3 linked regions of the Schizosaccharomyces pombe genome follow. Changing the gene in region 1 together with any one later gene gives a genetic interaction. Each region holds a gene or a part of one and is shown on either strand. Other genes may lie near its edges.

Region 1 (4,236 bases):
ACATCCATAGAACTACATTAATGCAATGAATTAGGATTACTTACAAAGCCATTGAAGTCGGAGATGAGCTGGGAGACGTATTTGCGTTCAGTAAATTTGAAAAGGTTAGGATAAAAGCAACCCATGCAATTAATCTTCTCGTTAACATGAAAATCCTAAAATATCTTACATACTTGAAACGAAGAAATAAAGCAGCCATACACGTGGCTGTGCTTACCAAACTCAAGCCAACTATAATAGGGTTAGCAAACTTAATAAATTATTTGACGAAAGAAAGGATTTAAAATATTCCACAATGAACTAAAGCTTGAGCGATTAAATCAGCGTAACTCACGATTGGGTTCAATTTGAAAGTGCTTTCTACTTTACCTTCTTCATTTGCTTTGACTCTAGCTTTGTAGGGAACGATTAAATCAGGTCGTTTAAGTTCTGCAGGCGCCATATTTTATGAATTTTCGTTGTCGAGACTTCAGAACTGGTGAATGGGATGGTTCCTCTACAAGAATATAATGAAGTTAGTAATAAAATGTGTAAAATGGTTTTAGGTTAGGTTATTTAGCATTCAAATATATCGTGGGGGTTAAGAGTTCTTATCCCACTAAGAATTTCAACTATTTTAGACTTGGCTAAGCATTAGAATTAAAATCGATTGCAGTACCACGTGGGGGCTTTAGCAAGTCATAGGAGGAAACTGATCCTACTTGGCGAGTGAGAAATGGATTTCTTTTAGCATTCTAAGTCTTCTATATAACAATTTAAAGCTCAAACATAATATAATATTATTTATACTATTTTAAAAATTTAGGAACCAAGCCAGGTGAACTTAAGAAGTTCAAAGAGCATTTAATCGTTAGATGAAATAATAAAAAAAAAAATTACACTCGTTCACTCGTTTTCAATTTTACGAATAGGTTTGGCAGGTGATCCTACAGCCAACGTATTAGGTGGGATGTCTTTTGTAACAACAGCACCCGCTCCAATTACACTGCCTTCCCCGATAGTAACACCTGGGAGAACTATAACTCCCATACCAATCCAAACATTGTCCTGAATCTTGATAAAATTTTGTTTGTTAGTTGTAAGATGTTTCAATAACTGGACTAACGCATACGTTAATTGGTAAACCAAATTCAATTCCGGAGTTCCTTGCTTTAAAATCCAAGGGATGTGTTGCTGTACATAGTTGAACCTGGAAAGACACCATTAGTATATTTATTTTTTGAATGAATGACTTGAAAGTAACTATATATATATATAAACATACATTGGGGCCTAGCATTACATTATTACCAATAGTAATTATGGCAACATCTAGAAATGTACAATTATAATTTGCAAAGAATTTTTTTCCAAAATGAACGTTAAATCCGTAATCAAAAGCCATAGGTGGCTCAATCTCTGGTGCTGAAGATTCGTCAAATACAAAAACTTCAGCCAACAGTTCAGCTCGTCTTTTAATCAATTCTGCTGGGCCTACATTTTCCAAATCTCCCATAGTGTCATTAAACCTTCGCATTAATTTTTTAGCATTACATCTCGCTTGAGTCAACTCCTCGTCGTAAGCCTTGTACCTGTTATTTAGTAATTAGAATATCTCCCTGCGTTCAATGTGACTTCAAACATGTCAACGAAGATGATATATTAGCTCGACAAGTTTTAAGCATTAGCCTTACGGTTGACCAGATATCATTTTTTGGTATTCAATGGTTTTCGGTATCATTTTTTGTACACGAGTACGAGTCATTTCTGTCGGAAAACAAGTATATTCACTAGCATTGACAATGGGACTAGTAGAGTTATCGATGTATAAATAGACTTATATATATATATATATATGTATTGATATCAATATTAACAAATTGCTGATAAAACTATACGGAAACTTTTTAGTGAAATAGTTTGTAAAACGTAAGTAAAAACATCTCGATGATATATAGCGTCAGCTGTTACACTACATTATGCCCCACTATGCAACATATCATTAATTGTCGCATTGCTTTATGTCTGGCCCCTACTCGTATTACCACCAGCATACCAAAATTTATCAAGTTACAAGTAAATAGTTAGTGTAGCTTAACAAACGCTGAGGGCCGTAAACTGACAAGCAATAACAAGATATGCAATGAACGTTGTCCGTCCCTTTTTTAATCTTGCTTTCCTCCTGTATCATTAAACTGATTAAACTGGGTAGTAATCCCAAACTAATGTCATATAAAAAAAAAATTCAAAACAACTTAAATAGTACATCAAACAAAAATTGATAAGTAAATAAGCAATAAATATGATTTAAAAATAAATCCAAAGTGTATTTATTAATCGCCCTTGAAGTGTAAATGGCATATCGTGTCAGATTAAATGCTCAATTTCTGACGGCTTCGGTTTGCTGCGCTTAAACATTTTGCTTTAGTGTTAATAAATTTCAACTATGGGATTTTTTCATCCTTCTTCATGATAACTAGATTATATGAAAAAAGCATCTTTAAGACAACCAACAATGTTTTAATATCAGTAAAGTGCGTCAAATTTCGCATCATTAAACAAATAATGTCACTTATGATTAACTGAGTCATTAGCAAATGAAATGTGAATTTACGGGTTAAATACTATCATAACTTTTAATTAATACTTATCAAGATAAAACTCACTGTAATAATGTCTTACAAAGGTCGGTAAACAATCTAATTAAACAAGGATCAGATAATAAATTGATTAAACACAAATTTTAATTTTTTTATATTGATATATAAAAACGGTTAACAAATTTTTCCATCAATAAAAAAAAAATGAATTACACTACGTTTCAAAGTTATAACTATTTTTTTATAACAAACATCAACTGAAAAGCAAGAAAATCTATATTCAAAAAAATAATATAAACGCTACAAAAAATCAAACAGTAAAGGGTTTCGAATTGCTTTTCTCTATAATTCAAATGAATTTCAAAATAATTGGGACAAGTTGCCAACACACACGCCATACTAATTTTGTGATACTTGCTCAACCAAAAATATGTAGCACCACATTCTCTATTTAAAGATTAGCGCAGCACAAGGAGCCGCTCGATAAAAGTGCTGCTACAAACGTTCAAGAACACAAGTTTATTCTTGTACCACAATTCAAGTGTTGCTATTGTTGTAAAAGGGCGTATATCAATCGGATTCAGTTTTTGCAATAAGTCTGACTGAAAAAAAAAATGGCGTCAGTGGAGGATGCCACGAAAGTTCAAGAAATGCTGGATGCGTTGAAGGCTGAATACAATGCTTTGGCTCATCATAGCTTCGCGTCCAAGGCGCGCGGAAACGACTATGAATCTTCTAGTACGTGTTTGAATAAAATAAATTAAATTAGCTATTTTTTGGAAACTAACATTCTGTTCTATTGCAGTGATACAATCTCAAATTCAAGAAATTGAAGCGTTCCGAAAAACCGTGGATGATATGTATGAAAAACAAAAATCTATTAGAGAAACGTAAGTTTTTATATGTTAAAGGTATCGAGGGATTATATAGTATCTACTTCTTTTCTGTGAAATTCATCATTATTTTATAATAGCATACGTGTCGCTCGAGATTTATATGCTTGAAGTAAAAAAAAAAAAACCTTTATAACATCTGTCTTCACCAATTTACTAACATTTATAGGTACGAAAAAGATATCAACAAGTTGAAGCGAGAGCTTGAAGAATTAGGTGTCGAAGCGAATACCGCAAGTTATAGAAATCGTGGAGAAAGATCTGAACTTGCCGCTTCTAATAATCAAGTTACCCATATTGATCAGGAACATCCCTCTCAAACCAAATCTACTTCTCAGCCTCCAAGTAACCATCTACCTGCCTTTCAGCAAATCCCTCCAATTCACCAATCAGCTTATCCTCAAAATAATGTTGCTGAAGTATTGATGCCTCCAATTCCTCCTTCAGTAGAGGCTTCTAGCGGGCAAAATTTTAATCAGGGAATTGCTTCTCAAAATCCCGCGATATCTACATCCAATTTACCTAGTACTACACCTTTATATATCCCTCCTGTTAATTACGGAGCAAATCAGGTTTCTCAACAACCAAATCCTCAATTGCCTGGTGTTTCCAATTATTATAATCCAAGTGCTACTTCAAAACCTGCTGTGAATGTCCAGCCACCGCGTATTCCTACCAAAGCAACTCCTTCGGCTGAACCTTCTATGACTGCTTCTGCGAATGCTGGTTCTATATCCCAAGCGGGTCCTGATGGAGAATATCAG
Region 2 (5,243 bases), 1.5 Mb from region 1:
CCCATGCTTTTAAAGAATAAGGCATATCATGAAAAAATTAGAAGGGAAGAAAAACCGGTGATAGATACACTAAGAGCCTAGGTATGTGTTTTCTAAATTCACCGAAACAAATGACTAACATGACGGCTCTGTGGATAAAGCCTCCGATTTTGACGTGATAATCTATACGCCTCTCGTAAATGATCAGGACTCAGTGGACCAGTATCCCCCCATTGATCTTGAATCTTTCGAGCTAATTCAACGATTTCTCCAACAAACACCTTTGAAAATCCTGAGATCACAATAGCAACATTGGGGGTTACACTTTGGTTTAAAATTTGGTTAGCCAATTTTTTAACATTGGTTTTATTTAAGTTAGCACGACGAAACACTTCGTATCTTTGCATTTGCTCTTCATCAAAACTCTCTAGAAGATATTTTGTGCGCAATTTTTCATTAGCTTCGTCGTCCGTTTCACCAGGTTTTCCAGCAACTTTTGAAATAGCAGCTGTACCAAAGTCATCCCTATCGTCTTCTTCCAGATCATTTTCTTCTTGCCGATTCCAATTCTCTTTTTCTTTTGATGAGGGAGCAGGCTCAGCAGCAGGCGATGCCGTATTTGCCTTTGCATGAGCTCCTGCTGTAGGAGAATTAGATTGATCGTAGCTCATCGATCGCTGAAATCGAGGTACTGAACTCGCAGAACCAGTTCGTTTCATATTTATCCCTTCTATCTTCAAAAAACTGAAGAGCTCTAAATGTTTAAAAATTGGGTTTGATTTTGTTATGCAAAGTGAGAATGTACAAGAAGTAAATTTCACAGGTTGGAAACTGCTTCATACATAAGCAAGTACACTACGCTTCCTTAAACGTACAATACTATGATTATAGTCAAATTGTTTACATTACATGAATCCAACGATGTTTGTAAATGACCTTGAAAATATAGGTTTATAAATTGCAAAATAATTGTTTTAGAAAAGAATAAATGTAACTTTAATAACTTAGCAACTTCTGTAACTCATTATCGTCGACTTTTAGGCGTAAGGTCTTATTGCTTAAATCGCACTTGCAAAGATATTCGATGTGTAATGGACATACAGTAATCGACTTGCAAGAACAAGCAACTTGAGAGAAGTATGAAAATGCTTTGCAATGCTGGCATTGCCAATTTTCGGCATCCTCCATTAATTCACGATAAAGTATTTCCTTTAAATCATAGCGTCCTCGTATCATGATACGTATACCTAATTCACGTTTGACAGCCTCATGCACCCAAGGCCTTAGCTCAGACACACTTATCTCTGACGCCGGATTTGTCGCTAAATTGTAAACCAACATATCATGTGAAAGTACAGGAGGTTTAAGAAGTGACTGATATTTCAAAACGCCATTCAAAGAGAATCCGTTTAGTAACCAATCTTTGGGAGCAAAATTCACTGCCTCATTAATGTTAAACCCATGATTAATTCCTGCGTGAAAGCTTTTTGGAAAGGTAATCACGAATTCATTAGGCCCCTGGTCGATGAAATAAACATCGACACCTCTTTTTTGTAGCTCATCAGGGTTGATCATTGTAGCTAATTGGTAAAGCAGATCTTTTTGTTTTTTTACCAAATCAGGAGCAATATCAAGAGCGGCGCGTTCAAACCTCTCGGCTTGATCACCTGGAATTCCATACCATAATTTTGTGTCTCCATAATGTTGATAATTTACGGAATAAGTATAGTTATCCTCGACATGCCAACAAAAAGTTGAAAAACACATTCCAACGTACAGCCACGGACAGGTTATACCTGAAACAGGATTATCTATATAGCTTAATAGAGAACCATTTGTGGATGCTATAACATTTAAATTCCATGTGTCCTTAGAGTAAGGATTCACTGGATTTTTGGCTAAACTAGGGAAGGCGCTGCCCTGATCAAGGGTTGATAAATCTGCACCGTATTCCACTTCAAGGCTTGTATTATTGTCTTTTACGAGTTTCCAATACTCTTTTTCAACAATATCCTCAGTTATCTCCGAGTCTTTAAATTTAGAAAAATAATTTTTCTTAAAATTGTCACAGTATTTTTCAAAGTTCGATAAAGTATAATAATTCCCTGTTTCAAACCCAAACTCATATGGATTAATTATACATTTAGTACAATACGCTTCTTTACACGTATCTTCGACTTCACAATTGACAGGTTTGTGACAATTGTCACATAAGTGGTTGTTATTCGTTGACAGAGAGCTCAATCGTCGCTTTTTATTATGTGAGTGATTATCATTTGATCCAAAATTATCGGCTGGCATATATTGTTGTTTAATCTGCTCATTTCTCTTGGATTCTTGGTTTTGAAGAATTCCTACGGACTCATTAGTTTCGGGGTTAAATTGTTTAGATGTCTTCTGATCTTTAATACTAATATTAGAATGTTCGTCTTTTGTAAAAAATTTAGGGAAGAGATCAGTTTCAAAGCATTGATCCTCAGAGGTCTGATATTTTCTGACGAAATCCTCAAATGGAAAAATATACCTTAAATACAAGTCACTTGCTTCCTTTAATGATGCATTAGTAAAAGGAATTGAAAGTTCTCGTAAAATCCTTTTCCATACATGAACTTTTAATTCCTTCTCACTTAGAGATGCATGAGAATCAATACAACGCATTAAGCTGTATAAGTCGATAGACGTATTGGAAATAAAAAATGATTCCGGGAGCTCCATGCCCAGATTGCAAAAAAAACGGTAAACGCGTTCATCGTAAGAGACTATTTCACGAAATCGAAGATCCATCATATGCAAATCCTGCCGCCGAGTACGGAAGGAAAACTTGTTCATGTCAAGTTGCATCGGTGGATTCCAACCAGCAGGAGGAACGATTTTTATGATACCATATTTTTCACCGATTGGAGCTATCTTATTAATATAACCGATAGAGTCCTGAAATTCCTCTTTATCAGGATAAAAAACGGGAGCAACTGGAAGTCCATGAATGGATTTGGAACGCTGTTTTCTTTGTCCGGTATTTTTTGACATAGAGGATAAGTTATTTCCCCGCGTATTCATCCCATGAGGTGCAGGTTTTAGTTTATCTGTAGCATGAGTGTATTGTACAAAAGATGGGGAAGTTTGATGAAAAGTAGACTTGCTCATGTTTCCTATGCAAATAAGTAGATAAATTAGTCCGAATGGTGAGCGATTCCAGAAAAAAAAAGTTATTATAAAAAGAATTAAAAAATAGAGAATAAAAAAGAAACGAAACGTAAATGAGAAATAATAAATGGAAACAACAGTTTTTAAACTCGGACTTAGATGAAGTAAGTTTTTTATGTTTATGCAATGTATACTTGTTCAATTGTCCATTGAAAAGACGTAAGTGTCTTTATGGGATATAAATAAAGAAATTAGGTAAAATTCGAAAATAATCTTAGGCTAATAGCATAAATAGGCATTAAATTAATATTCGTAACGTATGGTTAAGTGAAGGTTGTGACAACTTCAGTTGACGATTTTGAGAGCTAAAGGAACGATCATTAAATTATAAAGGATAGAAAAAGGAAAGGTATTTTTCACAATTAGCATAGAATTTACAATCGGAACAACGCCATATCAGCACCAAAGCATTTCAAGGTAATTCACCGTTTAGAAAAGAAAGCGTGGATGGCAGAGGCTGTAGATACACTGAACGTATTCTGTGATCAACATATAAAGGTTCCATCACGTTCAAATGAATGACAGGTTCAGAAACGTAACTTTTGCTAATAATGGTGGTTAGTACTTGCCTTGGTAAATGATAAGATAAACTATCAATGCAATATTTAGTAAATTTAATAAATACCTTCTGGAAACAGCTACTTGCTCCGCAATCCACCAAGGAGAACGACATTGAACTGATTTGTAATTTGGCAAGCGGACGTGCTTTCTTAGATGCATTGAAAATGCATAATCAAAATTTTCATAACCTTCTGCTAAAAATTTCGCTTCTCCGTTGTGTAATTCTATCTTTAGTAAGAACAACTGAACCATAAATCATTCGACAACAAACAAGTGCACATCAAACCTTTAAAACTTACGCCATAAAGCAATTAATGCAGAAGGTACGGTTTCATCAAAAAAGGCGCACTTTCCTTGAAACATTGACAGGCAAACTGTTGTAGGTAGTTGGTTTGTTTACAATTGCGCGCGACGCGTTTCGAAAAAGAAACACAATAAAAGATATTCAAGAATACTAACCAATACTTTCTTTCTATTTTTTAATACACAATAAGAAGCCGATTTGATGAATTGAAAGGAAAACGATCAAATTAGTTTTATAGGAATTAACATTAGAACAATATACCAGTTCTAATAATTTACTTTGCAAAAAAAAGGATTCTTTATTTTTTAATTTTAAAAAATGTAAGATGTAAATTGATATCGTATTTTTTGGTAAACGGGAAATAACCTAAAGACATTGAAATGACCGCTTTAAAACGAAACTACAAGATCCAGGATCTTTCAATCATAAAAAATTAATTTTCCTCTTTCCAGTTCAAGGTTTCAAAGGTATAACATATCATGCTTCAATTTTTTAGAGCGTTAAGTATTGGGTATGAGTTTAAAAGTTGCCGGGAAGTTTATCAGCAAGAGCCTTTAGGTTCTCGCCGGTGACTCTCATCATACTCCATCCTCCAACTTTTTGTGCTCCAGCCTTTTCATAGACTTCAATGGCTCTCTGGTTCCAATCAAGGACCTAGGGTATTAGTCAAGGTATAAAAAAAGAAATGGGTTATAAACAACTTACAACCCAGTCAAGACGTCTGCCACCAATTCTAAGTGATTCTCGTGCTAAATAAGACAGTAAGTAGCTTCCATATCCTTTTCCACGGAATTGGGGTCGAACATATAAGTCCTCCTAAGAAATTGAATGGTTAAAATCTTGCTATGAAATCAAAAGTTAATCCTTCAATAAAAAGGTTATGAAGGACAATATGATAAGAACATACTAAATAAATCCCCACTCTGCTAGTCCACGTGCTATTCAACGTCAGCTCATATATTTCAAAACGGAACTTTTCACTACCTAAAATTTAGGAAATATATAGCCATTCCTGCGGGCTGATGGCAATTATAGATTAGTAAAAAAGATCAAGCAAGTTTACTTTTTTTTACGAACCTGATCATTTTCTTCGATGAATACTCCATATGCCACAGGAGTAACCTCGTCAATAAATCCAAATGCAACTTCTAAATTCGGAATTGTCGCTTCCACTTGATCTTCACATTTTTCAAAT
Region 3 (5,842 bases), 4.4 Mb from region 1:
TCTCTTATGCAGGCTTGAAAAAATTTTGCAAATTAAACATAAATAATAACCAACACAAAGGGTTTAAGACTTTGACAGACTATCGCGCATGCTTTGAGAACTAGCACTAACGGGATTATGAGTCATAGGGAGGATGGTAGCAGGATCTTTCTGACGTTGCTGTTGAGATTTAGCAACGGCATAAACAACACCAGAAATAAAGCCCAACAAAATAGCGGTAACAGATCCAAAAGTGATGGGTGCATCAAAAAACACTAAACCGGCAATAGCCAAGGGAAGTTTGTTAAGAGCACCAACCATACTATAAGTTGTCGAAGAAGTTACGCGTACACACCAGGCAGAGGTGTAAGAAATTCCTACTGAAGAAACACCACTAATAGCCATAGCCATTAGAACACCAAATTTGGCATCAGGAGGGAAATTTTGAGCAATGTTTTCAGCACTCCAGTCCTCAGTAAAGAGCGTGCAGATAACCAAAACAGGGATACTGAGTAAGTTGTTATAAAACATGGTATCAAAGTCACGAAAGTTGGTAAGTTTGATACGCTTACGCATCGCGAGAACAAAAGCAGCATTTGTGAGACAGTTAAGCACCATCCATAAATAGCCAGAATTTAAGGTTTGGGAAGCAAATGAGGAAGACTGGATGTCTGCCCAAGCAGCGACAATAGAAGAAAGAACCATTAATCCAAAAGAAAAAAGAGTTAAAGCAGTAACATGCCCGCCAAACCAAAGGACCTCACCATAAGCAATGATAATAATAGTTAAATTCTTAAATATAGTGTACACTGGAACAGAAAGAAATTGCAAAGCCTTCGATGCAGTATAAATCATAGCTACCAATAAAAAGGAAATAGGAAACCAAAATTTGGCCTCACGAAAATCAAAATCCCTATAATTAATAACTTTCAAACGTTTTAGTATCCCAATGGCTGCTACACAAACAGTGGATTGTACAGTCAAAAGGAGAAAGTTCATATTGTAACCAGGACTCGAAAGAACATATTTATTGGTCAAAGTCATCAATATGGAAGCCATGCAATATGACACCACTGGAAGAATCGGTGATTTACTAATTCGGTTTAGCATATGATTATCCATTGTTGTTGGAATTTCGTGATGGCTCCGGTGAAGTTGTCTACATACCTACCCACCATGTTTGGAAGGAGCGCGTACGTAACAGGCCTTACCCTTCCTCAAAGACACAGTCCATTGGTAACAAGTTTTGGCATACAGATTGATTAACATCTCTGTTGATCAAACTTAAATAACTTGGTCTTCTCATATAAAATATAATTATTTAAATACTTTTTTGTTCATCTATAAAAGAGTATTTTCGCCTGCAAGCCACACTTAATGTTACACCAATTCATATGTTTTACAACAAAGTATGAGCATTTACTGTAAAAGCTGTGTTTGAATTGTTGTGAAATTCCTTAGTGTATGAAGATCGTTTTCCAGTCGAAGTCGATCATATATAAAGTCGCGATGCAGATACATATACAATTTAAGCATTTGTTGGAACTAGAGAGGCAAGGGAATTGACTCATATTATAATAGATGATTGGAGTATAACCGTATAGACAATGACCTTTCTACATGGATCTTTCGTTTCGTTCAATTGGACTATAAATTTATAAACGAATGCAATGTGGGCTACTTACAAACGCTTTTTCGTAGATAATAGTCTAGTCTTTAAACCATAATAGCTATTAAGACGTTATTTCAAAAGTAAAAGTGCAGAAAGAAGTGTTGACGCAGAGAAGACGATTGATGAAGTACAACTATAAAATAATATACATGCGTTTAGGTACTCGCATGTTTTAATCATGGAATTGGCTAAAAAAATCTATGAGTTGTTGGGAAGTGTTCAGTAATTCTCAATGCCACTTTCAATAATCAAAAATCAACTGAACTTGCAAATGCAAAACATGTAGTATAAGTATGCGAAAATACCCCACCATTAGAAAGCTACGCATCTTAAACTCCTATGGGCGTTTCCAATTGCAGATATGTACGGTATATTAGGGCACGCTTAACTTTGCTAAAAATTAATTAACGAAGTGCAACCACAGATGTATTGCGTAAAGCACTACCGATGTTTAGCCATCCGTCTTAAACGAGCATTGTGCCCATATCAATTGTAAGAAGCTCTTCTCTGTATATAAGCAGTCGACCTCTTGCAAACCGCAGTTTTTAGTAGGAATTGGTATTACACTCATTGTAAACAACATTCTGCATATTTCACCTTTGTGGAAATCATTTATCAAAATACCCACATACAAGGCACACATTGTAAACATTGTGGTTGCAAAGGATTTAAGTACATTTCAATCAGATTTTGGACCTTCCTATTTAATTTATAAATAATTTATATATAATCGCATATATTATATTAAAACTCTAATTATAAACAGCTTGCTTTGATTAGACGTTGCGATGTCGCGCAGAAATTCAATTGCGGTTGAGCAGGCAATCAATCCAAACATGCTTCGCGCTGCCAATCGAAGCTCTGAAGCCTTACTCGATAATGAAAAGTTTGGAGGTGTGCAACCCTACAGTACAGAGAGCGGTATGCTCTTTCATGCCGGAAAGCTCGTAATCATCATGTCTGGCTTACCGGCTAGAGGCAAGTCTAATATTGCTGTGTCGATAGACAGATATCTGAGGTGGTTGGGATTTAATTGTAGATTTTACAGTCTTGCGAAATACATAGACGAACGCACTAGGGAAATGACTAGTTCGCCTGTGAAATCTGGTAAGCTGAAACTATAGTCGACGTTTTGTACCTTTGCTAACTTATAACAGCTGCATCAGAAAATCATGTTTTTAGTAGGAATGACACAATTGAGAGATGTTTAGCAGACTTAGAGATTTTTTTACTTAAAGAGAAAGGTCAGGTTGCTATTTACGATGCAACAAATGGTACTAGACGTACACGTCGTATTTTATATGATAGGTTCAAGAATTGCGGGTTTAAAATCTTGTTTATTGAAAGTCTGTGCAATAAAGAGGATGTCATCAATGCGAATATTCAAGAAGCAATTCATGTTTCTGAGGAATTTCGAAATTGGGATTTGGAGATGGCCGAAAAAGAATATTGTCGTCGAATTGATATTCTCAAATGCCATTATGAAACCATTGATGAAAAGGACTATTCCTTTGTTAAAATGATTAATTTTGCTGAAACCATCATCGCAAACAAAAGTAATGAAGGTTACCTATTGTCTAGAATACTGTTCCTTCTCATGAACATGACTTTGGCGAGAAAACGTATCTTTTTGGTGCCGAAAGCTTCTATGAGACCGTTAAAATTACGAGAACCAGAAGATGACATAGAAAATCGCCAATTTTCTGAATATGTAGCTGATCGTATACGTAAATCTTTCCCAGATGTTTCTTTCAAAAACTTACACGTATTATCCTGCATGGAGGACTCTGTAATGAGTCCATTTCGAGAACTGGGTTCTGTTACCTCATCTATGTCGAGTCTTTCCCCGATCTTAATGGATTCATTTGGAGACGATTTACAGAAATTAAAAGAAACATATGGCGAAGAAGAGTATAATCTTTACCTTGTAGATCCTTACAGATATAGAGTTAAACGGAAAGAATCATTTTATGATTTGGCTGTTCGTTTAGAGCCTTTAATACTGGAATTGGGTCGGGAGCAGCGTGATGTTTTGCTGATCGGCTCTAAAAGCATAATACGGGTTTTTTACGGTTATTATATGAATGTACCAGCTAAGGTAAGATTTCTGACATTGTCCATTGCAACTTACAAATAATTTAGGATATCCCCCAATTATGCCTTTCTTCATCCTCAATTTACGAATTGATCGAAAGCAGCACCGGCATGACAGTCAATGAGTATGACTTATGAATGGCATTTTCCAATGTCTGTTTTCTCAGACAAAAAAATGCTAATTGTTTTTAATAAATGCGCATGACCAATTATATATTGAATTGTGAGTTTGTGCACAAAAATTTAATACTACTTGTAAGTCGTATCAAAACTAGTAAAGTGATATTTTAGTGATAAATGAAAGAAAAGGTCTTGATTTCGTTGAACAAAAAAAAAAGATTATATACCAATCCATATAAAGGGAACAGCAACCAGGGATCCGATAAAATTAAAAAACTAAGAAGTTATTGTCATATACAAACGCTTAAACACAGGTCGCCATCATTCCATTCAAAACAGATAGAAGTTGCTCATTTTCACAGGCAGCCGCCACTCGTTCCTTATCGTTCAGTTGTTTGTTTACTTGAGACTCACTCGCGTGGGTACCTTTTTTAACTTTCACATCGACATGAAAACGGGGAGGAAGACAGCGTTCGAGGCGAACTCGAATGCATAAACCGATCAATGTGCACATAGAGCAATGAGGGATAGTTGGAGTAATGTGAACTGTGATATAAGAATCGCCTTCAACATTATCAACAACCTCAATGTCTTCTAATTTGACGACCGATAACTGAGCAAGAGTTAATGGATGTTCTGGATCATTTATTTTAGCTAGAAGGTCGTATATTTCTTGTGGATCTATTGGATCTCTTTCTTCCTTTATGTTAGTCTGCTCACTTTCAATCTCGGTTAGCCATTGTTTCGTAGAACTCAACAATAGATCCTCTTCTTCTTCAACCCTAGATGGCAATTGATTTAACTCCTTTACTTCCGGGTTTTCGTTCTGTAAATTTGCACTCATTTTTTTTTTAAATTAATAACTAATAAATGACTAAAGACTACTATGAATATCACCTTCGATAGTGTGAATTTTGGAAGGCATAAAATTTAATTAACCTCAGGATGAATAATTGTCATTTTGGATTACGTAGTGCGTTATCAAAGTCAGCACTTGCCACGCTCAACTACCATGCAGTTAGCGTTAACACTTTACTATATGCTACGTGTCGACAAGCCCCTAGTAAATTAGACTACGAACGTTAATTATCAGTACTTCTTATATGTCTTATTAAGTATTTATACTTATTGTACGGTAGATATGCATACTTTATTTGAAGTGATTATAGTCACATTAGAAACTGTAAATGGCCTAACTAAACCCACGTTCCGCAACCAATAATAAATCATTTCAAATTAAATTATAAACACCATGCAATATTTTGATTGTAGCCTACTATCTATTTACGATTGATATACTTACATAAACAAATGTATTAATCGCAAGAGAAACTCAGTATCGCAGTCTCTTGCATGCTCAAAAGGGTGTGAGTTTTGTATTTTCAGCTTAAGCTTTCAATACTCATAACATACAAGTAATACGAGATATTTGAAAATTTATTACTGACTAGAAAAGGCATATAATCACTCCAACTACCTAGAACTGGGAGACACACAGTTGTAGTCCAATATCCAAGCAATAGATTGGCATACTATGCTAGTCAGAAACTAAGCCTTTATTTTAATTGAAATAGATAGTAGTAATTACACTGTGTCAATAGTTGGACACTAGCATTTTATAGCGTTTGTTAAATAATGAGAGACAATGAACAATACGATGGTAATTTCTTTAACGAAAATGCTGAGCACCCCACTAACTGATTTACTAACTCATGTAAATGACCATAATTCATTTACATACTTACTATGATACCAGAAATTCATAGTAATTCAATACAAAATACTAGCCTTGTCAAACACCTATAGTTGATTCTTTCTTACCCAATCGTATTGGAAATTGTTTATAAGCAAGCTATTTATAGTCGTTATATGCAGTTCCTGTACGTTACACATACAAACAATAATAAGCAAACCAGCTAACTTTATCAACCTATGTTCAGTTTCCTATGAACTTTGTTTTGAAATTTTTTTTACCCG

What was found. A genetic interaction does not mean that the proteins touch.
Region 2: mutations in SPOM_SPAC18B11.09C (region 1) and jmj2 together harm fitness less than expected from each alone (positive genetic interaction), as found in Schizosaccharomyces pombe (one large-scale study listed by BioGRID).
Region 3: mutations in SPOM_SPAC18B11.09C (region 1) and SPOM_SPAC144.17C together harm fitness more than expected from each alone (negative genetic interaction), as found in Schizosaccharomyces pombe (one large-scale study listed by BioGRID).

What each region holds. Positions count from the first base shown.
Region 1 is NC_003424.3:300,669-304,904, reverse strand, and holds SPOM_SPAC18B11.09C (serine O-acetyltransferase activity), read right to left. Parts: upstream 1,904-4,236; 5' UTR 1,745-1,903; coding exon 1,674-1,744; intron 1,572-1,673; coding exon 1,265-1,571; intron 1,235-1,264; exon of another isoform or gene 1,190-1,234; coding exon 1,112-1,189; exon of another isoform or gene 1,054-1,111; coding exon 886-1,053; 3' UTR 744-885; downstream 1-743. Other genes in the region: protein pat10, read right to left, coding at 45-134, 174-231, 370-442; transcriptional corepressor Tup11, read left to right, coding at 3,194-3,317, 3,385-3,469, 3,642-4,236.
Region 2 is NC_003424.3:1,803,675-1,808,917, forward strand, and holds jmj2 (histone demethylase Jmj2), read right to left. Parts: upstream 3,124-5,243; coding exon 976-3,123; 3' UTR 874-975; downstream 1-873. Other genes in the region: transcription factor TFIID complex subunit Taf11, read right to left, coding at 99-698; bouquet formation protein Bqt2, read right to left, coding at 3,596-3,728, 3,809-3,968, 4,044-4,107; SPOM_SPAC1002.07C (N-acetyltransferase Ats1), read right to left, coding at 4,568-4,702, 4,754-4,864, 4,956-4,986, 5,033-5,067, 5,126-5,243.
Region 3 is NC_003424.3:4,685,429-4,691,270, reverse strand, and holds SPOM_SPAC144.17C (6-phosphofructo-2-kinase), read left to right. Parts: upstream 1-2,117; 5' UTR 2,118-2,439; coding exon 2,440-2,758; exon of another isoform or gene 2,759-2,808; coding exon 2,809-3,749; exon of another isoform or gene 3,750-3,793; coding exon 3,794-3,883; 3' UTR 3,884-4,169; coding exon of another isoform or gene 4,170-4,709; 3' UTR 4,710-4,969; downstream 4,970-5,842. Other genes in the region: GDP-mannose transporter Vrg4, read right to left, coding at 64-1,101; cia2 (sister chromatid cohesion protein), read right to left, coding at 4,170-4,709.